Linked DNA regions of Pelodiscus sinensis. The main gene of each other region encodes a partner of the protein of the gene in region 2 in a complex. Links are inferred from orthologs where the notes say so. Each region holds a gene or a part of one and is shown on either strand. Other genes may lie near its edges.

Region 1 (7,674 bases), on a different chromosome or scaffold from region 2:
GACAATAATTTAGCAGATTTCCAATGTCAAGTGTTGATTTCTTGAGCAGAGGCTGAGTAATAAATTTCCTCAGAAAAGTCACCATCCTACCCTCACTATGGGAAGCACTAATTGGTTCCTCAAATTCTCTAGATAGAAAAAAAAATTCAAAAGAGGTCAGGTTGAGGAACAATAACCCCCAACATTTCTACTGTCACTGGCTTAAACTCAACTAGAGAAAAAACATTTGTCCTGAGTAGACCCTATCCTCCATCCATAGAATCAGGAAGCTTGGCTTTTATCTTTGTAATCAGAAATTTCCTATCAGGAGGAGCTTGATTCAGCCACCAAGTGAAGGCAAGGTGGCAATGTTTGTGATTTGATGAAAAATAACATTGGTTTGTTTTAATCATGTTTCAACTTTATGAGTAACTAAACTGTACTCAGGTTTGTAAATGATTAACCAACTCTGGACAAAATATAAGCCACTATACTAAATTTTTCTTCATTTCAGGAAAAATTGCAGCAAACCTCCTGATCAATGCACTTTTGAAGGACCTGTTATTTTTGAATGAAAATTTAGTTTAGTTAGAGTAAATGTTGTTGCATTCACTGGAACAACATTGAATGATTTTACCAAACATGAGTCCAAGACAAATTCAGCCACTGTAATTAAATTTTTGCTAATCTGAGTGAAAATAAAATAAAAGAAGGAATAAGCATTTATTTGTATAGATTCTCACCTACCCTGCCTCACACACTGAGCAGTTTCATTGATCAGGGAACTAAAAGAATGTTTTCAGAAAGTGAAATACCCCATTAAAGTTTCAAAACTGGTTTATGCAAAAACTTTCCAAAAGTAAAGATCCTCCACTTATGGCTACACTTAAGCTATGTGACAATAAGCTATTTCAATAAAGTTTTATGTGCTTGGCAAAACCAACTAAAATCAGGTAATTTATATCCTTACAGTCATTATTGAGACATGTCTCCAAAAATGTTATACTTATATAGAAAACATAGAAGCATTTATAAATATAACTGTGTTCACTTACAATAAAAATGTAACTGCATATCGGAAATCAGGTACACTTTATTGTTTTGAATATGACTGACTGCCACCATTTAGATTGTGCAAACCATTTAAAGGAAACATGAATATCTGTCCCTGGAACTCAAACCACTGGTTTTCTAGGGATGTAAAATCCTGGTTAAAAAGTTAACCAGTTAAAAAGAATGTTAAACGTTCTATTTAACCAGGATCTTGTGGGCAGGTGGTTGCTCTAGCCCAGCTGGGCCACTGGTTAAGCAGTTACCGGTAAGGATCACCCAGTAAAGGTGATGCTTATTGGGTAACTGGTTACTCATCCCTACAGTCTACTTAATTAAAAAACTGATCTGAATCTCACCAGTTTTGCAATTTACTCCCATTCCAATAAATACATTATTCTGAAATGGTGAACACCAATGTGAGATTAACACCTCACAGTCAAGAGGCAGATGTTTTAAAAGTGAACTATGTTTACCTCTATCTATCCCTTACACAAGAAAGCCATCTTAGGGTGGGCTCCAATTTCTGTACATAGTCAAATTAAAGTGACTGCATAAAGTATAAATCGGCAAAGATCCCACACCTTTATTTAGTAAAGCAACAGATTATCATCATGGATGCAATGTAATCCCAGCAATGAACATGGAGAAGGTGACAATATACACCAGTTTCTAGATCAAGTTCTCTCTACCTATTCAGTCTCTGGAATTTGAACATAAAGCTACTGTTGCTATCTCTGAGATTTAATCAGGTGCAGCTAGAAAGTAAAATAGAACAGATATTTAAGAAAAACCATTATGTAACACTAATCTCAATATTACCCCAGCCCACCAAGTAAATTGTGAAGCTGACACAAGAAGGGAATCTTTTATTGGACCAATTTCTGATGGCAAGAGACAAGTTTTCAAGCCACACAGAGATCTTCTTCAGGTGAACTTATTTCCTGTAATACAGAAGCAACACAAAAGCTTGACCCTGATACTGTCATGCTGGAGGAGGGGAAATCAACCAAGCATGAGTTACAGATACTGCTTGTAGACACTTTGGAAGGTCATAAATTCGCCTGTTTTAAGTTTTCCTTATGTTCCTCTTCCATTATTAAACTGAAAAAGCAACTAATCATTCACGTTGTTTGCTTTTTTTTGCCACTTATTAAACTGGAATAACAAATAGGTCAGTTTCACTTTCGGCTTCTCATACACACTGCTAGAAGATTGGCGTTACAAAAAACAACCACCCCCACCCGCAAACCCAAACCAAACCAACTACAAAAGAGAAGCTGCTCCTATCATTAGGTCCTGAAAATAGTTTACAAACTAGTAAATCAAACCAAGGCCCCGTTTCCAAACATTCCATGCCAAGGGCACACAAGAGATGCACTCAGACCAAGACTTTTTTTTTCCAAGTGAGGGAGGATGCTCAGCCTGCCATTCAGAAACTACTCCGTCCGAAAATCGGGCCCCCTTAGAGGTGGCCCAAAGGGGAGACGGGTGCGGAACAGCGCCAGCCAGAAGCACTACACCCTTAGCCTCCGGCACGCGGCGGGGGCAGAGCGAAGCCTGGCGACAGGGCCGAAGGGCAGCCTCCCCGGGCTCGGGTCCGGCTGTGCACCTGCACGGGCTGACCTCCGCCTGCTGCTCTCTGCCGGGGGGAGACGCCCGCCCCCAGCCCTAGGAGCCCAGGCCCTGGGCATGGCCAGCCCCTCCTCCACAGCGTGGCCTGCCCCGCCCCACTGGAGACCCACAGCCCCTCTGAGCGTGACCCTCAGGCGGGGCCCGGATTCTCCAAGGCGCCCTACGCCCCGAGCGCAGCGCAGCCGCGAGGGAATCAGCAGGCCCTACACAAACACACTAGTGACCCTGCCCGAGCCGTGGGCACCGAGCGCCTCGTCCCCCCCTCCTCCGAAAAGGGGGCACACACAGCCCGGTACCTACCTCCCCCCCACCCCTCGGGGACTTTAGAGTGGGCTCCGCTGCCTTGCCGGAAGTGCCTGCGAGACGGAAACGTTCCCCGCGGTGACCACACACACCAGGCGTTGCCGGAACCAACCTGCAAGCCGCATGGGCTCCTGGGACCTGTAGTGCCGTTCCACACGACTACAACGCCCACAAGGCAACGCGAGGGCCAGCTTGCGGCGTAGAAGGGGGGGAGTAGGAAGAGTTGGAGGAGGAGTCGTCGCAGAGCTAGCCCAATTGGAGTGCCGGACTAGACGAGGGGGCGTGGTCCCGAAAGGGGCGGGGCAGGCGTGAGAATTTGCAGGCGTCGGCAGACGCCACAGAAACAATTCCTGAAGCGGTCTCTGGACCACAGGCTGCTCCAACACCGGCAGGCTCCCCGTTCTAGCGTTCGCAGCTGCTGCAGAACCGCTCCGAGGGAGGTAAGCGCTATCAGTTACTTGGCTGGGCGGGCGACCTGGTTGCTTGCGGTGGGCTCCTCGCCCTAGGAAATCCTTTTTTCGCCGACTCTCTGTTTTGTTGCATGCTAAATGTTTGCACGTCCATTGACTTTGCGTTGCATTTGTAGGGAGCTGTTGGAAAGTCTCCCTCTGACTATGGCTGAACACTGGTGCGTGTGCAGTGTATGTGTGAGTGCTTTAAACCCACTTCACTTGTCAGTTGTTCAGACAGCTCGCTCACAACGTGTGAAATAAATTCCTGGCTCCGGCTGTCGATATTTGTTACCTCGTCTAGGGATAGGTTGGTCGCCACCCCTAAAATCTTTTACCGTATTAAATAAAACGGTTTTTCTTCACGCTCTAATGTTTTTTATAGACTGTGTATGCACATCCCTTATAGATTTGTAGAACGGAGTCGTGGATTTGTTGTACTTGCCTTACGACTGTGTCAATTACTGTAAACTGGGACCAGCATCGGTTGTTTGTTGATACGATTCAGGATGTGTTGTTTTCTACAGCAAAGCTATTTAGAACTCTGAAGAAGTTCTTAAAACTGAAAAAGAAATAAAATAAATTAATTATAGGTGTTCACTTTTAAATTACTTGAGAATGAGTGCAGAGGTAGTATTTAAAACAGGTGGATACTTTAGTGTGTGTGTGTGTGTGTGTGTGTGTGTATATATATATATATATATATATATATATATATATATATATATATATATATATATAAAAAATCTGTGTGTGCATATATGTAGTTTGTAAGTGTACCCTATCAGTAGAAAAACTTTTCAATTTGAGTATAAAGTTACTTTCTCTTTGTAACAGAAGACTTTTGTATTTTGTGACTAAAATACACAACACGCCATATCTGAAATCTCCCTCCTTCAGAATCTCACACATCTCTTGACATCTCAATAGAATGACTAGCCTCCTCTGCCAATGTATATTTACCAGACTATTTGTATATTAATTATTTTAGATACTAATTTGTATGTAACACTTGTTATTAATAAAAGTATTATAATTATGTAAAGCAATTTCATATTTTTAAATCAAAGGTACTGTAAAGGTCAAAATCATATCATTGTTCTAAGTCCATCCTTTTCCCTGTTTAAGCCATGCTAACATTGGTTAGTTACTAAGAGCTACTGTTACAGAAAAGCTTTTGAACTTTAACATTAAAACTTAAACATGTCAAAAATTTGGCTTTAAATTCAGGTGTCTTAAATTTGTTACCTCTATGTAAAGAGTTTAAGAATACTGTATAAAATGATAATGATGGCACTTTTCCTATGAAAGGCTTACAACAGCTGAATGAATGGGTAAGTGATGATATAGCCAATGGTTAATAGTTTCCCTTTAGCAACAAAAAGGGACTGTCTATGGAACACCATACATGCCATACAAGCTCCAACTTTGCAGTGTAGAAACAGAGATCTCAAGTATTTGGAACTACAACACAACATGGAACCGTGCATCACCTGTTAGGTCCCAATAACTGAATGCATAATGAAAGCCATACACAGGATGGTAACTCAGTGGTATGCTCTAATTAGAAAATAAAGGTATTCCCTTCACTGTGCCCTGCTTTGTTTTATTTTTAACCTTTGTGTCATCCATTGAACACCAATTAATGCACATCTCTAATTATTGATGAGGAAGACCTCAAATTTGTGTAATGTGCAAAAATATTAATATCATTAATAGCTTTTAACTTCATTTGGCATCCCAAAAACATTTGTTTCTATAGTTGTAATGGTAGGTCTTGTTTTGGTAAGCCCTATGAAGGGATGGGGGGGAGGGCTACGGATTGGGTGAAGTGTCTTGTGCTTTGCAGAGTCCACAAAACAAATCAATGGGAGGATGTGTGGGTGGGGCGGAGGGGGTGAGACAGACATAAACTGTTTCTTACATGTGCATAAGGACAATAAACTGTGTGTTTCTAAATTAAGTTGTTTAATAATGCAAACTTCTGTTTAAAAATATAGAAGAATATTCTATATTCATGCCCCCTTTTTGATTTTTTGAGACCCCCTCATTTTCGCCCCCCCCCCCCCCCGAAAAAAAAATTAGCAGCAAAATTGTTGAGCGCAAAAAAAAAAAAACTGACCAGGGCAGCAAAACTTGATGGGGGTGGAAGGGGCTGGGATGTCTTGTGCCCCTCCTGGAATTTCTTCATGCACCTCCAGGGGGCATCCCCAAAGTTTGGGAACCCATGATCTACATCATCCCTGATATCTATCCAACCTGCTCTTAAATATCTGCAGTGATGGAAATTCCACAACCTCCCTAGGCTGTTTATTTCAGTATTTAACCACCCTGACAAGAAGATTTACCTAATGTCCATCCTAACCTTCCCTTGCTGCAATTTAAACCCATTGCTTCTTGTCCTATCATCAGAAGACAAGAACAATTTTTCTCTCTCCTCCTTGTGACACTCTTTTAGATGCTTGAAAACTGCTATTGTGTCCCCTCTGTCTTATATCTTTTAAACTAAACAAGCCCAATTCTTTCAGCTTTCCTTCATAGGTCATGTTTTCTAGACCTTTAATCATTTTTGTTGCTCTTCTCTGGATCTTCTTCAGTTTCACCACATCTTTCTTGAAATGTGGTGCCCAGAACTGGACACAATACTCCAACTGAGGCCTAATCAGCACAGAGTAAGCAGAAGAATGACTTTGCGTGTCTTGCTCAAACGCTCTTGTTAATGCATCCCAGAATCATGTTTGCTTTTTTTTGCAACAGTGTGACACTGTTGACTCATTTAACTTGTTGTCCACTATGACCCCTAAATCCCTTTCCACAGTACTCCTTCCTGGACAGTCGCTTCCCCGTCTGTATGTATGAAACTGATTGTTCCTTCCTACGTGAAGTATTTTGCATTTGTCCTTATTAACCTTCATCTTGTTTACCTCAGACCATTTCTCCAATTTGTCCAATTTGTTTTGAATTTTGACCTTATCTCCAAAGCAGCTTGGTATCATCTGCATACTTAATAGTCATACTCTCTGTGCCATCATCTAAATACTTAATGAAGATATTGAACAGAACCACAATACTTGATATCCTTTCAAAGAAAGCTGTTAGATTGGTTTGACATAATTTGTTCTTTCTTCACTCAGCACACAGTCAACCTGTGGAACTCCTTGTCAGAGGACATGGTGAAGGTTAGGACTTCAGCTCTTTTTTGAACCCTGTTAGATAGATTCATGGAGGTTAGGTACATCAATGGCTATTAGCCAGGATGGGTAGGAATGGTATACCTAGCCTCTGTTTCTCCGGGGCTGGATGATGGGAGAGATCATGTGAGGATTACCCGTTGTCCCCCTCCCTCTGGGGCATCTAGTATTGGCCACTGTCGGCAGACAGGATACTGGGCTAGATGAACCATTGGTCTGACCCAGTATGGCTGTTCTTATGGTAGTAGGCAACAGCCAGCATGGATTTCTATTACCATATTATCTTCCAGAGGTTTGTAGATGAATCCCTTAATTACTTGTTCCATTATCTTCTCTGGCACAAAAGTTAAACTGACTGGTCTATAGCTTTCTGGATTGGTCTTATTTTTCCTTTTTATAGATGGGCACTATATTTACCCTTTTCCGGTCTTCTGGAATCTCTCCTGCTGTCCATGATTTCTCAAAGATGAGAGCTAAAGGCTCAGATATCTCCTCTAGCAGCTCCTTGAGTATTCTAGGATGTATTTCATCATGCCCTGGTGACTTGAAGACATCTGACTTTTCTAAGTAGTTTTTCACTTGGTTCTTTTTTTATTATTATTACAGGCAGTCCCCGGGTTACGTACAAGATAGGGACTGTAGGTTTGTTCTTAAGTTGAATCTGTATGTAAGTCGGAACTGGCGTCCAGATTCAGCCGCTGCTGAAACTGATCAGTTTCAACAGCGGCTGAATCTGGAGGCCAGTTCTGACTTACATACAGATTCAACTTAAGAAACCCAGTCATCCCCAAGTCAGCTGCTGCTGAAACTGATCAGCAGCTGATTCCAGGAAGCCCGGGGTTGCAGCAGCGGCTGACTTGGGGACACCTGGGGCAAAGCAGCTGGGGTGCTGCTGGGTTGGTCCAGCGCCACCCAGAGTGGCGCTACGGGACCAACCGGCAGCGCCCCAGCTGCTGTACCACAGGCGTCAGGAGCAAAGCCGCGGAGAACGGGGGCAGCGGGACAGCCCAGACGCGCTGTGGCTATCCTGCTGCCCTCGGGCTCCGCGGCTTTGCTCTGCTTTGCTC
Region 2 (6,978 bases):
TTGGGCATAAGTTTTCGTGGGTAAAAACCACTTCGCCAGATGCATCTGACAAAGCGGTTTTTACCCACAAAGGCTTATGCTCAAATAAATCTTAGTCTAACACAGATACAAACTAACACAGCTATCCCTCTGAGACTTGTTACCAAATCGACAGATTATTTTCAACATGTGTCTGAAATAGACACAAATACAGATAATAAATCAGTAACTAAATGACAAATTCTGCAGTTAATCATTTCAGGTCAGACTAGCATGTGTCCTTCTCTTTCCCTTGTGCTCACAAGCACTTTTTAAAACTTGTACAAGGGAATCACCACAGACGAACATTACACCTGCAATCCTGTTCAGAAGACCTTCCTGATAAATCTCACAGGAAGGATTAACAAAATCACTCTAGTCCAACATATCTGTAGGTATCCACTTTATATCTGCAGATGCGGATCTTCACAGCTCATTTTTGTGGATGGGGATGCAGATACAAATTTTGTATCCATGCAGGGTTCTAAAACTCAGGAGATGCTCCTACCTATAAAAACAGGAAAGAAGCCTAAATTCCTGCACACTGGGAAAGGAATATGAAAAGAAAAGAGGACAAAGGGATAGGAAAGAGAAAACAAATAGGGAAACATAAAGAAGAGAACTTGGGGATAGCTTTTAATTTCAAATATGGTAACTTTGAGAACCAGATAGGTAGTTAATTAAGATTCTGGACAGAGATGTTTACGACAAATTCACTTTGCAACTGATCTGCAAGTGATTGGACAAACCCCTCTCCTATTACAGTTCTTACAGCATGTTAATCACAGTGGTAATTGAGGCTATGTATACGCTAGCACTTTTGTTGGTATAATTCATGTCACTCAGATTGTGGAAAAAAACACCCCCGAGAGTGACATAATTTGCACTAGAGTTGGGCAAACTCCCGTGGACCACATTCAGCATAGCAAACTTTTGTATCTGTCTCCCTCTGGGGAGCGAGGGCTTGCACTGCTCTGACCACCTGGCACTCCTCAGCCCCTTTCCACCATCTTCCACAACATGCAGATAACCATAAAGCACAGGCACAACTTCACCTTGCTGCTTCCAAGGTCAGAACCCTGCCCCTAAGTGGCAGCTCTGCCCCTGTGCTGCAGCACACCCAACCTCCTCCCGCCTCACCTTCAGGAACCTTCAAACCACTTAAGGGTTGCAGGTAGGGTGCCTCCGCCTGTGGCAATGCTTGATACAGCCACCTTGATGTCACTGCCAGCCATGCCTGCAGAAGTCCCTGGTACTGCTCCTACAGAATCTTCCCTCCACGCACCTCAGTATAGAGCTCCCCATGCCACACCTGATGAGTCCTCCCACCCACGTCAGGCAGTCATACAGTTTCCATACCAAGATGCGGCCCTTAGGCCAAAAAGTCTGACCACCCCTACAGATTCCATAGTGGGGGGAAAGCAACTCCCATACACAGAGCAGTTACAGGAGTTACCTTACAATGACATAGCTGCATTGGAACAGCTGTGCCACTGTAAGCCCTTTAGTGTAGACATGGCCTGAGAGTAGTAGCTCTAGATAGTTTGTCACTGACCAGAACAATAACTTCTTAGCCTAGGAAAGGATGAGAGGATGAGAGTACTCTTATCTAGCCTACTTTCTGTCCCAAGGAGCAAGTTGCTATTAGGCTTTGGGCCTTGTCTACACTAGGAAAATTAAGATGCTTCTTTTTTCACTATATAGCTACTCTGGGACATATCAATAGCAGAAACTGTAGCATAGTACAGACAATACTACAAAAGCAATAGAATATGCAGTAGTCAATGATGGGGTTACCCAATATGAAATTATGCACGGCAGGACTCTTGCGACACAGAGGCTGTGTCCTAAGTAGCAGCAAACTCAGCACAGATTGTAATCTTTTTCTCAGCATCCAACTACCTATGCACCCCATGGAACAAGGACTGCCACTCTTGCATGGGTCTTGTTAGCCACCGCCATACTGGCAAGCCATAAAACTGTTGTCAACATCTTCTACAGTCAGAAAGGTCAACAAGAAGAATTACAGTGCAGGCACTAAAGATGCCAAGGTCTTTCCTCCTCTACGCCTTCTATCATTGCTACCACTGCTGGAGGATTAAAGGTCCCAATTACTCTAGGATGGACAGCACCCAGAAAGAAACACATTTAACTTCTCTCCCCACACAAGAGGTGAGAATAGAAGGGCACGTGGCACCACCCCTCCTTCCTCGCTTCAGTGTCAGAAAGCAACAGAAAGAAACTGAAACGATTCCAAGAAACAAGGAGCGATAAAAGGGGAGAAATAAGAAACGGGTGGGACGGGACACGCCAAACCCTCGTGCAGCAGGGGGTCTGCAGACCAGCCACACGCTCACAGGTGAAACTGACAGGGGACAAGCCAGGGAGTTAGGACAGCGCTGCGAGCGGCTGCCAAGCCCCAGCCACGGCAACAGGCTCAGCGCGCTGCCGCTCCACGCGCGGGGACAGGAGCGTCCCCCACCGCGGGGCGGGCGTGCCGGGCCGGGGGCGCGGGTGTCACGCCCCCCACACCCACCCCACGCTGCGCGGCCGGGGCGAGGCCGCCAGCGCTGCCCTTTGCCAGCGGGAGACACGGGGCACTCAGACGCCAGGAAGGGGCGGCCGGGGCCCGGGCCAAGCCGAGCGGAGCCGGACCAGGAAAGGGGGGGGGGGGGGGCGCGTTACCTGCAGCTCCGCCCGCTCCGCCTCCCACTCGGCTCGCTCCGCCTCGAAGCGGCCCCACTCGTGCTGCAGGAAGTGCAGGATCCCGGGGACGCTGTACTGAGCCCGGGCCGCGGACACCGGGGCCGGGGCGGCCGCCGCCAAGGAGCCCCCCGCGGTCGCCGCCTCCCCCGGCTCCAGCCCCGGCCCGGCCCCGCCCGGCGGCGGCAGCAGCAGCGCGTTGTTGTTGTTGTTGTTGCTGAAGAAAACGCCGGGCCCCGCCTGCTCGTCCATGGCCGGAGCCGCCGCGTCCCGGCAGCAGCAGCAGCAGCAGCAGCCTGGGCGCGTCCCGCCCGCCGTCACCGCCGCCTGACAGGACGCCCCCGCCGGCTGCTACCGAGGCCCGGCGGGGACAACTCCGCTCCGACCCGTCCCGCGGCATTCTGGGAAATGTAGTTCCAGGGCCCTAGTCCCGCCTGGAAGCTGGGCGCTGGCGGGGCAAGGTCTCTGATTCTCTGACACAGGGTAGGATGCTTGAGCAACACAGAAAGCATCCCACCCTGTGCCAGCTCAGACCAGGGCTGTGGCTCCAGGCGATGGAAGTGAGCAGGCGCCTTCCAGGCAGACCCACGTTTGCATTCCTCCCTCAACAGAGGCTGGAGGAGACAATCCGTATTACCCTCACCCCAAAACCAAGCTCCGGCCCCTCCCCAAGCGTCTTGGCTCCCTGGGACCTGCTCATGTCACGGACAGACCTACAGAGCCACCGCTGTCAACAGCACCATGAAAAATGCCAAAGGAAATTAACCATTTGTCCCACCCCTTAGCCATGAGAAATGCTCCTATCTTCTGTAAGGTTGGATGGCACACTTAAGAGCTGGGAGAGACAGAGGCCAGCAGTTGTATTCAGAATAATCCCTTCCTTGGCAGCATGATAATAATTTCTACAAGAGCAACATAATGCAACTTTGCACAAAGCTAAGGCTGCTCCGTTCAGGGAAGCACCAATAGTACAAGTACTTTCTACTCCTGCCTCACAGTTAATATCCATTAGGTACTGAACTCAGGCCTTGGTGCAGCCTCTGCCCTGGGAGGCAGTGAAGCAAGTCTATTCACTGGTTACAGTGGACTTCAAAGACTAGAAAATAGAGGTAAGCACAGCCCACTCTCAGTTTCCACTACACAACTGGATTAAACTAACTTAACTTACCTTTGGTTCCCACTGAAGTGCCTCTCTGTGCTGATTTAGTAACACCACTTCCTAGAGCAGCGTCATGTCCGAGTAAGTCTACACTAGAGTTTTGTTAGAAAAACAACTGTTTTTCCGACAAAATTTGAGGAATGTCCACGCTGCAATTGCATTCTTCAGCAAGAAAATCGAAAGAACAGAGGGGTTTTTCTAGCATTGGTAATCCTCATTCTATGAGGAAGAAGCCTTTTTGTAAAAAAGCTCTTTCGCAAAAAGGCATGTGTGGAAAAAGGGAATTCTTTCGGAAGAAGGGGAAAGAGGAAAAAACACAAGTGCCCTCGTGACCATTCCATCCATAGCAATCACAGCTTACCTGCAAGAGAGCGTCCATTCAGTCTGGACACACTGCTTTTTCGATGCACTTTTGCAGTGTGGATGCTGTCTTTTGGAAGAAGCTTTTTTTTGAAAGATCTCTTCCGAAAAAAAGCTTTTTCCAAAAGAAGCCAGCAGTCTAGACAAAGCCTCAGTTTCAAGTAAGGACAACTTAGCTAATTACAAGGCAGTATTTACACTTTCAGGAGCCATCCCACTGTGCCCCACACAGACAATACAATAGATTCAAGCACTACTGGTGAGGACATACACCATCAACACAAGAAGCCAAGCAAGCACACACAGAAGCAATATAATCATGATGGTGCCTGTATATCGGTTGACAATTTTGTAGCATAGATATGTGGCTTCCTAACAGTAAGGTTAGGTTAAGGCTATTTAAAAAATGGCTGGAGTAAAAAACGCCTATGCCCTCAACTGTAAGGGGATGGAGACAGAGAACTGGAGCACAGAAAATTATGGCGCACCTTTCAGGCCAGTATGCAGTAATTTCTAAGTATGTGTGCTTTTTGTGTGTGAATGTGGACTGCAAGGGTGTGAATGCACCCCCCCATAGGGCCCCAAGAAGTGAGGAAATCAGCCGTCTTCCCCCAGTTGGTCAGAGCATGGGGAGGGAGGCTGGAGCAGCACACTGCTCCTGGCTTCTCCTGGCCAGCCAGAGCATGCTTACTTGGGGAACCACAGGGGACTGCTTTTGCACCCTTCATACCCCCACTGTGTATGGGCCAGCCTCTTCCCCAGCCTCAAGGAAGAAATTCTAAGGTGAACTGTCTGGAGTAGTAGGTTCAAAGACCTATGGTGGTGTAAGGCAGGAGTTCTCAACCAACATTCTATAAAAACTCCATGACCCATCTATGCTACAGCAACTGGGGTTTTTTTTTTTTTGGAGGGGAGGGGGGTTTACACTGGCATTAGGGCAAGCAGGGGAATTGTCCAGGGGCCCATGTCACAGGAAGCCCTGTAAAGCTAAATTGCTCAAACTTCATTTTGAGGCCCAGGCAGTTGGGCTTGGGCTTTCTGCCCCAGGTCCCAGTGAATCCAATGCTAGCCCTGCTTTCGCAGATCCCCTGAAACCTGCTCATGGCCCCTAAAGGGACCTTGGACCCCTCGTTGAGAACTATAGCTGTAAGGATTCAGCATAGGAGAACCTTCTGAGGACTGGTCTTCCCTGCATGGGAAGGAAAAGCAGTGCTGAGACGTGTAAAGCATCCCAGCAAACTTCAGAAGGAAACTTGCCTTGAAAGCTCTGTTCTCTCTAGCAGGAGAATGCTGAGGACAGTCATTGGACCATATTGCAGAAAGCGTCCTGGGAAACAGCCTCCTCGGAAAGGACAGTGGGAGCCTAAACTTCTAAAATGACTCGTCCAAGGGGATGGATTCAACAGTTGGTGTTTAAGGAGGAGGGAAGCTAGAGCCTCCTCCTCTGCTGTAGCTGCTATGGACCTCACAATGTGAGGCTTTGCTGCTTCTCTCAGCCTGGGTCCACTTAAAGACCTACTACAGATGCACACAGACATTAATAAAAGGAGCCTTCTTGAAGAGGATTGGGATTGCCAAATCCAGAATAAAGCTACAAAGGCCAAGAATATGTAAGAATATGGTCTTTTGTTTCAGCAAGACCAGACTAATACGGCTACATCTCTATTACTAAGAATACGTAAAGACACTAAACATGATGCAAGCTCTGTAAGCAATAGCAACATTCAGTATGTCACCAACTACAGTGTCTTAGCATAAGCTTAGCATTTCTACAGGCTTATCAATGGTGAAGGCACTGAGTAGTCCCAGAGACTTCACCATATTTTGCACAGACAAGGACTTGCTGCTGAGCTTCTGAAACCAGTATTTCCTGTTAGCTGCTGGCCAGCTGTCACTTCTTCAGAAGGCCAGTGCTTGCCTGCTTCTTTCCCCAGGAGTATGAGAGATCACTATAACTACACAGAGGAACATACTAGGCAATCCCTTCACTCTGGCCGAAGGGAAAAAAACCCTGAAGTATCTTGGAGAGAGAATGAGGAATAGCAAGGAAATGGGAAAAAGCAAGAGAGGTAAGAGAAAGGGAGCAAAAGAAGTGCGGGAAGAAAAAAGAAAAATTGAGAGAGGAAGTAGAGAGAAGGTAATTCGGGGGAAAAGAGACACTGAAAAAAAGACTATGAAAACAGGGAAAGTCATAATGAAGAACACAAAGGAAGAACAAAAGTGAGGAAGGCATGCCAAGTTATTTTGCTTTATAATCCAATGAAGGTTGGAACCAGATTATTATATTATTATATGAAATCATTTTTTTGCCTGAGGAGCAGGAAAAGGACAGAATCACGTGGATGGAAAATTTGAGAGGCTTGTTTCTAAACAAGCATGAGAACCCAGTATGTCTGTATGAGAAAAAGCCTCTCTTTTCATCTGCCACTCCCTTATCCCTCAATCGCTTTCTGAGCCTGTTTTCCCTTCAATTAACATTTTTTACCTGTTTTACATTTTTTTAAACTGGCTTCCTACAGCATTTCATTTTTGCTCGGCTGGCTCTAAACTCACATTTTAAAGATTTGTTTCTTTGCCTTTTATGAATTGCCAGTGATCTTGTTTAGTTAAAAAAAAAAATCAATTCTGACAGGAAAAAAAGTGCTAGGGTAAAACAAGACTCTTTTGGGGAAATTAGGAGACAACAAGAATTCGTTATGCTAATTCAGGAAAGGCAGAGGGAAACTAGCAGACAACTA
Region 3 (7,775 bases), on a different chromosome or scaffold from region 2:
GTCAGCTGAGTAAAGGGTTTGTTACCCGTTGTGTTCGTGCCTGAAAATCAGTTGCTATGTTTAGAACATAGGAACGGCCATATTGGGTCAGACCAAAGGTCCATCTAGCCTAGTGTCCTGTCTGCCGACAGTGGCCAATGCCAGATGCCCCAGAGAGAATGAACAGACCAGGGAATCCTCACATGATCCGTCTCTGTCCTCCATTTCCAGCTTCTAACAACAGAGGCCAGGGACACCATTCCTACGCATCCTGGCTAATAGCCACTGATGGACCTAACTTCCATGAATTTATCTTTGCTGAACTCGGTAAAAGACTTAGCCTTCACAACATCCTCTGGCAAGGAGTTCCACAGGTAGATTGTGAAGAAATGCTTCCTTTGTTTTAAACCTGCTACCTATTAATTTCTTTTGGTGACCCCTAGTTCTTATGTTATGAGAACAGGCAAATAACTTTTCCTTATTTACTTCCTCCACACCAATCATGATTTTATAGCCCTTAGAATCTCGGCAAGGGGCATGCAGTGAAGAGCTTCTACCTCCCTCCTGCTGTGTTCATTTTGTTCTGGGATCTCTGTCTCTTTTCCTACATGCTGCTGATTAAGTTATGGGTGAGCTCCATTATGTCTCTGGAAGGGGTGATGCCTTTCCACTATCTCTGATTCCAAATCTAGCCCCAGATAACCGTGGTTTCAGATGTGTAGAAAATCCTCTGTAGCCATCTATCTTCTCCACGAGGCCTGACTTTCAAGCACTGTCCCAAATCGTTACTAAGGAGGACAGGTAATAAACTCTCTTTACCTGGGTTATTGTGGTTTTAACCTTATGTCCACAGTCGCTTTGGCACCCTCAAAAGCAGGAGTGTTGAACATCCTCCCATCACTGTCCCAAACTGCCTGGAAGTGACCAGTCACTAGAAAACATGGCTCCTTGGCTCTGCAAAGTTGACATCCCCTGATGCTCTGATTCTGTGATTCTGACAGGAAAGGAAGGGTTTAATCCCGCTGCTGCTGGGCCTTAGGAAACGGACGATGAATGTGAGTGTGATGTAGTCCCCAGCAGCGCTGCTCTAGGAAGGCCTAGGACTAGTCCCTCCCGGGAACCAGCTGAGCCAGCGATGGGCAACCGAGGCTGGTGAGTGGCCGCAAGATTGTTGTCACCAAGACGCTCTCCCAGGATCGGGTAGTTTTGCTCACTGCACTTGCGTAGCTAGAATGTGCGGGGGGTGCCGATTGCACCGTAGCAGCGCTGGGACTGGCTGCAGAGGGAGCGCCCGGCGCTCACATTCAGTGTTGTAGCAATCAGCCTGCTCCTCACTCGACACACACGGGCGGGTCACTTCAGTAATAGTGGTAGGGAAAAACCGACACTGACAAAAACCAGCAGAATCTGGCAGCCCTGCGTGTGGACAACAGTAAACAAAATGTCTCGTAGGCTGCACGTAGAGCCCTGATGTGCCGCAGGCTGCCTGCCACTATGCTAAGCTCTGGAAGCCTGGAGTGGGGGGGGGGGGGGGGGGGTTGGGGTTTGTCCTTTCTCTGAGCACTGGAAGAACATTTCATTTTGGCAATGGGCAGGCAGCCAGAGACCCCTGGAAGACTCACAAGGGCAGGATCAGGTCCCCTGTCTGGTCAGGCAAAATCCTGCAGAGCCCCAGTGAACTCATTTGGAAATGTCTGGAATGTGATACAACGATGCTGAATAGTCTCATTCCTCGGCCAGAGATGCTGTGTCACCGTGGACGCTGCTTTCTCCACTACAGACCTTCCCGTCCTGCTCCCAGAGTGCTTTGCAGCACTGTGAAGAAAGCGTGGTCTCCTTTTACAGCTGGGGAAACTGAGGCACGGAGCCACACAGTGACTTTGGCAAATAGTCTAATTCTGTTTTATATTTCTTCAGTCGCTATTACTGCTCTGTCTGTGGAAAGACACAAGGGGCAGTTCGCATCCCCACGGCGCTTGCAGTCCATTCCTAGCCAAGGAAGATGGTAGACAACTACTGGCAATAAACACTTTTAAATCCACCCGAGTAACTTGCCCCCAAATGCTCAAAATGAGTTGGAGATCTCTCGCCGCCTGCTGTTCGTTTTTAGTAAGTATTGGAGCCGGGGCAATTCCAGAACACTGGTAGAAAGCTAATGCTGTGTCGGTACTCAGGCAGAGCCGATACAGGACTCTAGATAAAGAATTAATGAACAGGAATATAATTAATGACAGTCGACATTGTTTTATGGAAAACAGGTCTTGACAAACAAACCTGATTTAATGCTTGGGGGTTTGAAATTAGATGCAACATATAAAGGCTTTTGAAAGGTGTTTGACTTAGTACCCCACGACAGTCTGATCAGAATTGGCAGTCCCCCGTAGTAAGAGAGCACATGTTAACTGGAGTAAGAAGTGGCTAACGGAGCTCACTCTGTAGCTGTCACTGGAGAATCACCCGCTCGGGTGTTTTGGGGGGGAGGTTGCAGCGATTGGTATTTGGACGGCTTCTGTGCAATATTTTCAGCAATGGGCTGGAAGCAGTGTAAAAGTGCTGCTGATAAAATCAGTGGCTGACACACAGACTGGCCAAGTAGCACAAGAGGTCAGGAATTCGTACGGAGCCAAATGCAATTTGCCTAGGTCTCAACAAAGATGCTAATTTCCTTACCCATTACAAAGATAGCTTCCCCAATTATCACCTCTAATATCATTAGCTCAGACATTAACCTCCCCACCTCATCCCCCCTCTGTTCTGAAATGTGATTTGTCCTTTTTATACGTGTTCACTTTTTTTGATTGTATCCCTTTGGTATATATGGTCAGGCCAATTTTCTTCCACAATTTGATCTGAGGAAGTGGGTCTGGCCCACGAAAGCTCATCACCTAATAAACCATCTTGTTAGTCTTTAAAGTGCTACATAGTCCTGTTTTTTGTTTCAGCTACACCAGACTAACACGGCTACATCTCTATTACTCTTGGAACAAGGCATGGAGACCATGGCGGATGGGAAAGCCGTGCCTTTGAAAAAGCTGTACAGGGGTCACAAGGGACAAGCTTCCAGGTGGGTGATGCTGTGGCAAACTGGGCTAGTGTGTTGTGGGGTCTATAACGGTGCTCAATGGGTGAGGAAAGAGATGCAAACAATGTTAATGGGGGGTGATTAGGGAAGTGGTGGGTTCTCCTTCTCTTGGTGTTTTCCAATCAAGACTGGAAGGTGTTTTTGTCAAACACAAGTGGAGGGGAAAATGTAATGGCTGGTACTGTGGAGGTGACTTCACATAACCTGGTGCTCCCCTCTGGCCTTAAAATCTAGGGGTTGCCCAAAGACACACACAACATCTCCATCAGAATGAAGGCGGGATCCAAGATCAACGGACAGTGAGAGAGGCAGATACAGCGAGCCCTACTGAGTTTCTTGGGGGGGGGGCCGGTTGAGAAGTTAAACTGAGATCCCCTCTGCTCGGTGTTTTTATCACCACCTTGGCCATTTGGACTGAAATTTCTGCCCGTCCAGTTCTGCGATGCCCTTCTGGCTTTCAGCTTCCAACCACAGGCAGCTGTTGTGACGGGACAGACTGAGTCCCTCTGGTTCACAAAGGGCATGGGAACCCGGCCTGAGGAAAAGTGCTGTGGCCACAAGGGAGAAAAAGCCTAACCCTGTGACGCCCTGTCTCCCCTTTCACACGCCCTGGCGTCTGCCTCGTTTCCACCACTGCCCTGAGAGTGAATCCTGCTCTGCGGTGGCCATGTCTCTAACTCCTGCCACATCCCACCTGCTGCCACAGGCCTTCTGTCCCTGGGGGCAGCAACCTCCCTCCTTCCCCTTAGTGCCCGCGGCCTTTTCACACCGTCCCAGCTGAGGCCCCAGCCTCTCCCATGAGAAGAGCCACACTGGGTCAGACCAAAGGTCCATCTAGCCCAGAGTCCTGTCTGCTGACAGTGGCCAATGCCAGGTGCCCCGGGGAGACGGGGGGAAGTGAACAGAACAGGGAATCATTAAGTGATCTCTCTCCTGTCACCCATTCCCATCTTCTGACAAACAGAGGCTAGAGCCACCATCCCTACGCATCCTGGTTAATAGCCATTAATGAACCTAACCTCCATGAATTTATCTAGCTCTATGTTGAACCCTCTTCAAGTCCTGGTCTTCACAACATCCTCTGGCAAGGAGTTCCACAGGTTGTGCGCTGTGCAAAAAAAAACCACCTTCCTTTTATTTGTTTTAAACCTGCTACCTATTCATTTCACTTAGAGACCCCTCATTCTGATGTGATAGGAACAAGGAACTTTGCCTTATTCACTTTCTCCACACCTGCCATGAATTTATAGACCTCTATCATCTTCCCCCTTAGTCTTCTCTTTCCTAAGCCGAAAAGTCCCAGTTTTTCTCTCTCCTCATGGCACCTGTTCCAAGCCCCTCATCATTTTCGATCCCCTTCTCTGAACCAAGGTGCCTTTTGTGAGCGGAGGCGCCCACCCACCTGCAGGCAGCATCCAAGCTGTGGGCGAACCGGGGCTTCATACAAGCTCCGCTCTGTCCCCTTTGAAGCGGCGCCCACTGCTCCTTTACCCTCCCCTGGCTGCAGCTTGTCCCCCAGCCCAGGGCCAGACCACATGGTCTAGTGGTCACCCCAGAGTGTCCTCTCCCCCCAGCCCCGCCCTGGCAGCCGCTCACGCAGCCAATCGGCGCCTAGGGGTGTGTCCCCGGCGGAGACAGCCAGCCAATGGCAGCGCGGGGGCGTGGCGAGTCCCTGGGTGGAGGGGGGGGGGGGTTCAGCCTGCACGTGCTGGCGCGGGCAGGGCAGAGGGGCGCATGGAGGAGACCGGGGCGGCCAGCAGCGCCCTGCCCGGGGACGGGGCGCCCGGCAGGGGGAGGCCGCTGCAGGCCAAGGGGCGGGAGCTGTTCAGGAGCCAGCGGAAGGAGTCCGAGGTGAGAGAGGGGGGGCACCCACCCCCCGTCCCTCTGGGGGACCCACCCACCCCCCCGGGCACTCAGCCCCCCCGGGAACCCACCCAGCCCCCCCGGGCACTCAGCCACCCCCCGTCCCTCTGGGGGACCCACCCAGCCCCCCCGGGCACTCAGCCACCCCCCGTCCCTCTGGGGGACCCACCCAGCCCACCCGGGCACTCAGCCACCCCCCGTCCCTCTGGGGGACCCACCCAGCCCACCCGCCTGCCCCCCCTGGGAACCACCCAGCCCCCCCGGGCACTCAGCCACCCCCCGTCCCTCTGGGGGACCCACCCAGCCCCCCCGGGCACTCAGCCACCCCCCCGTCCCTCTGGGGGACCCACCCAGCCCACCCGCCTGCCCCCCCTGGGAACCACCCAGCCCCCCCGGGCACTCAGCCACCCCCCGTCCCTCTGGGGGACCCACCCAGCCCCCCCGGGCACTCAGCCACCCCCCGTCCCTCTGGGGGACCCACCCAGCCCCCCCGGGCACTCAGCCACCCCCCCGTCCCTCTGGGGGACCCACCCAGGCCCCCCGCCAGCCCCGCCTGGGAACCACCCAGCCCCCCCGGGCACTCAGCCACCCCCCCGTCCCTCTGGGGGACCCCCGCAGCCTGCCCCCCTGGGGATCCACCCACCCCCCCGTCCCTCTGGGGGACCCAGCCAGCCCCCCCGAGGGCACCCAGCAGCCCCCTGGCCCCCCCCAACCCCGCCGGCGGAGGGGCCCGCCCCGTCCCGGGGAGCTGCTGGCGGGGGTCCCGCGGCTGCCCTGCGCCTCCTGCCCTTTGCTCGCAGCCGCGCGCGGGGCCCGATCGCTCCCGGGCGGGCGCCTCCCCGGCTCCGGCGACAGGTGCCTGGGGCGCTGCGGCTCCCCGCGGGGCCCGGGCAGGGGGCGGCCCGTGGGGCGGGGAGGTCGGGGCCGCTGCGGGCTCCCCTGCCCGGCTCGCTTTGCAGCCCCCGCCCGGAGGCGCGGCCGGGCCGGGACGTACAGGAGCAGCTGGGGTCGGCGCCTTATTGCAGCCTCGCTGCAGCTCCTGGCAGCCTGGTGGGGGAGGGGGGCTCAGACAGCAGAGGACTGAAGTGGGGAGGGACTTGTCAGCCCCCCCCCCCGGGAACCAGCGCTGCACCCCCAGATCGGAGGGGCGCTGGAGGAGGCAAGTTTTCTCCTCCCGCACCTAGTGGCAGGGCCATGAGCTGGCACCGGGGTGGTGGGTGCACCCTCGCTCTAGAGATGCACCGGCTGGATGACGCCTGCTGCGTAATGAGCCCCCCGGGAAGTGGAGATGGGGGGGGGGACCTGTCAGTCTTCTGCCAGGTTGGGGTGCTGCCTCTCGCCAGGCACTGGGAACCTGCCCTCCTCCGGTGACTTCATAATTGTTCATTCCGGGGTTTCTTCCTCCGAAGCGCCGGGCCGGGGCACTTGGAGCGAGGCTGCTGAGTAGATGGATGCGGGCAAGCCACAGGTTGGGCGATTGCTGCCGAGATCGTGAGCAGCATTCACACTTGGCTGCATGGGCGACTCGTGGTAGCACCCAGGAGGAGCACTGCCCCCCGCCCACAGGCCCCTGTCAAAATTCGGATTGCTAACCGGGGTGTTCCCTCATGCCCCCTCCTTGTTCCTCTGGCTGGCTCTCCCTGCACTCCCTCCCTCCCTTGCGCTTGATGGAGCCTGCTGGATGCATGGCAGCTGGAGAGACAGTCCAAGAGTTTATGCTGCTGACGGGGCACGGGGGCAGATGCGCATTGGAAGGATGCACACGCCAGCGTTGGGGCTTGCCAGACCCGCCAGCTGGAGCGTAGATTTTAAAAGGAACCGGTAGCGTGTTAACAAGAGGGGGTCACTGTGGGAAGGATTCCGGGAAGGGGGGGGCGAGGAATTGACGGCCATTGTGTGGGATCAAAGACGGGTCCCTCTTCCAGCATGGGGGAGAGCGACGAGGCGCTCGTGGGGGAAAGAGCAGGAGGGCGGAGAGGGAGGCCGGAATGGCAGAGGGCAGGGTCTCGCTGAGATTGATGAAAGGTTGATTTCACAGGTGCAGGAAGGGACCGTATGTCTAATAGTGCAGCACCAACGTCCTGTTCTTCCCCCCCCTCCCCCCGCAAAAGCCAGCCTGGGCTGGCTGAAGGTAGCGCAGTGGGGCGGGTTCTCCGGGGGCCTCACGGGTAAGTCAGCAACCTCCGGAGCCTGGGATGGAGGATTCGAGTTCCCACCAGGCTGACGCTCTTCGGGGGCTCTCTAGCTCTGATTGGGGGCATCTCGTCTCCGCGGCTTCTCTTCGAAGCCAGCACTGAGCCAGAGCGGAGCTCAGCCGCTGCTCCGATTAGATCTGGGTACGAATGTGATGGATGAGAGATGCCGGACACGCCGGGGTGATCCTGCGTAGTGAGAGCTCGGTGCGGAGAACATTGGTGGACGATAGGACGCGGTCTCTGAATAGTCTCGTTCCTTCGGCTGTAAAAACCTGCCCTATCTGTTCTCTGGCGTTACGGGTTGGAAACTTTAGTTTAACCATCGCTGCTCCTCGGGCGTGGCCCTGGCCAAAGTGCAGGTGAGGCGTCTCTTTCCAAGGCGCACCCCGGTGGCCTGGGCAGACGGTGGAATTCTGGCCTTGGGACACAACCTTTCAATCCGTTTTCGGGTCAGAAGTGCAGCGGTCGTTTTGGTTTAGCCGTCTCTGCCGGGGGGATTAACGTTTGCAGGCGCCACTACTTAGCCGAATTCCTCTAGAGCTTTAGTGCGCCGACCGTAGATGGCCAGCGCGCTGGATTTGGTCCCCGCGTTGGTTGTGTGCTGTCGAGGCTCCCTGACGGCGTGAGATCAAAAGTCAGAGCTGGAAGGGAGGGTC

Evidence for each region.
Region 1: STRN (region 2) and PDCD10 share a complex: the UniProt entries of both Homo sapiens proteins name them as parts of the core of STRIPAK complex. The link is inferred for Pelodiscus sinensis from reciprocal best matches to the Homo sapiens genes STRN and PDCD10.
Region 3: STRN (region 2) and STRIP2 share a complex: the UniProt entries of both Homo sapiens proteins name them as parts of the core of STRIPAK complex. The link is inferred for Pelodiscus sinensis from reciprocal best matches to the Homo sapiens genes STRN and STRIP2.

The regions. Positions count from the first base shown.
Region 1 is NC_134720.1:37,052,193-37,059,866, forward strand, and holds the start of PDCD10 (programmed cell death protein 10), read right to left. Parts: upstream 3,102-7,674; 5' UTR 2,965-3,101; intron 1-2,964. UniProt on the Homo sapiens protein: Promotes cell proliferation. Modulates apoptotic pathways. Increases mitogen-activated protein kinase activity and STK26 activity. Important for cell migration, and for normal structure and assembly of the Golgi complex.
Region 2 is NC_134713.1:137,172,263-137,179,240, forward strand, and holds the start of STRN (striatin), read right to left. Parts: upstream 3,007-6,978; 5' UTR 2,974-3,006; coding exon 2,704-2,973; intron 1-2,703. UniProt on the Homo sapiens protein: Calmodulin-binding scaffolding protein which is the center of the striatin-interacting phosphatase and kinase (STRIPAK) complexes.
Region 3 is NC_134711.1:4,396,691-4,404,465, reverse strand, and holds the start of STRIP2 (striatin-interacting protein 2), read left to right. Parts: upstream 1-4,756; 5' UTR 4,757-4,795; coding exon 4,796-4,912; intron 4,913-7,775. UniProt on the Homo sapiens protein: Plays a role in the regulation of cell morphology and cytoskeletal organization. Required in the control of cell shape. Calmodulin-binding scaffolding protein which is the center of the striatin-interacting phosphatase and kinase (STRIPAK) complexes.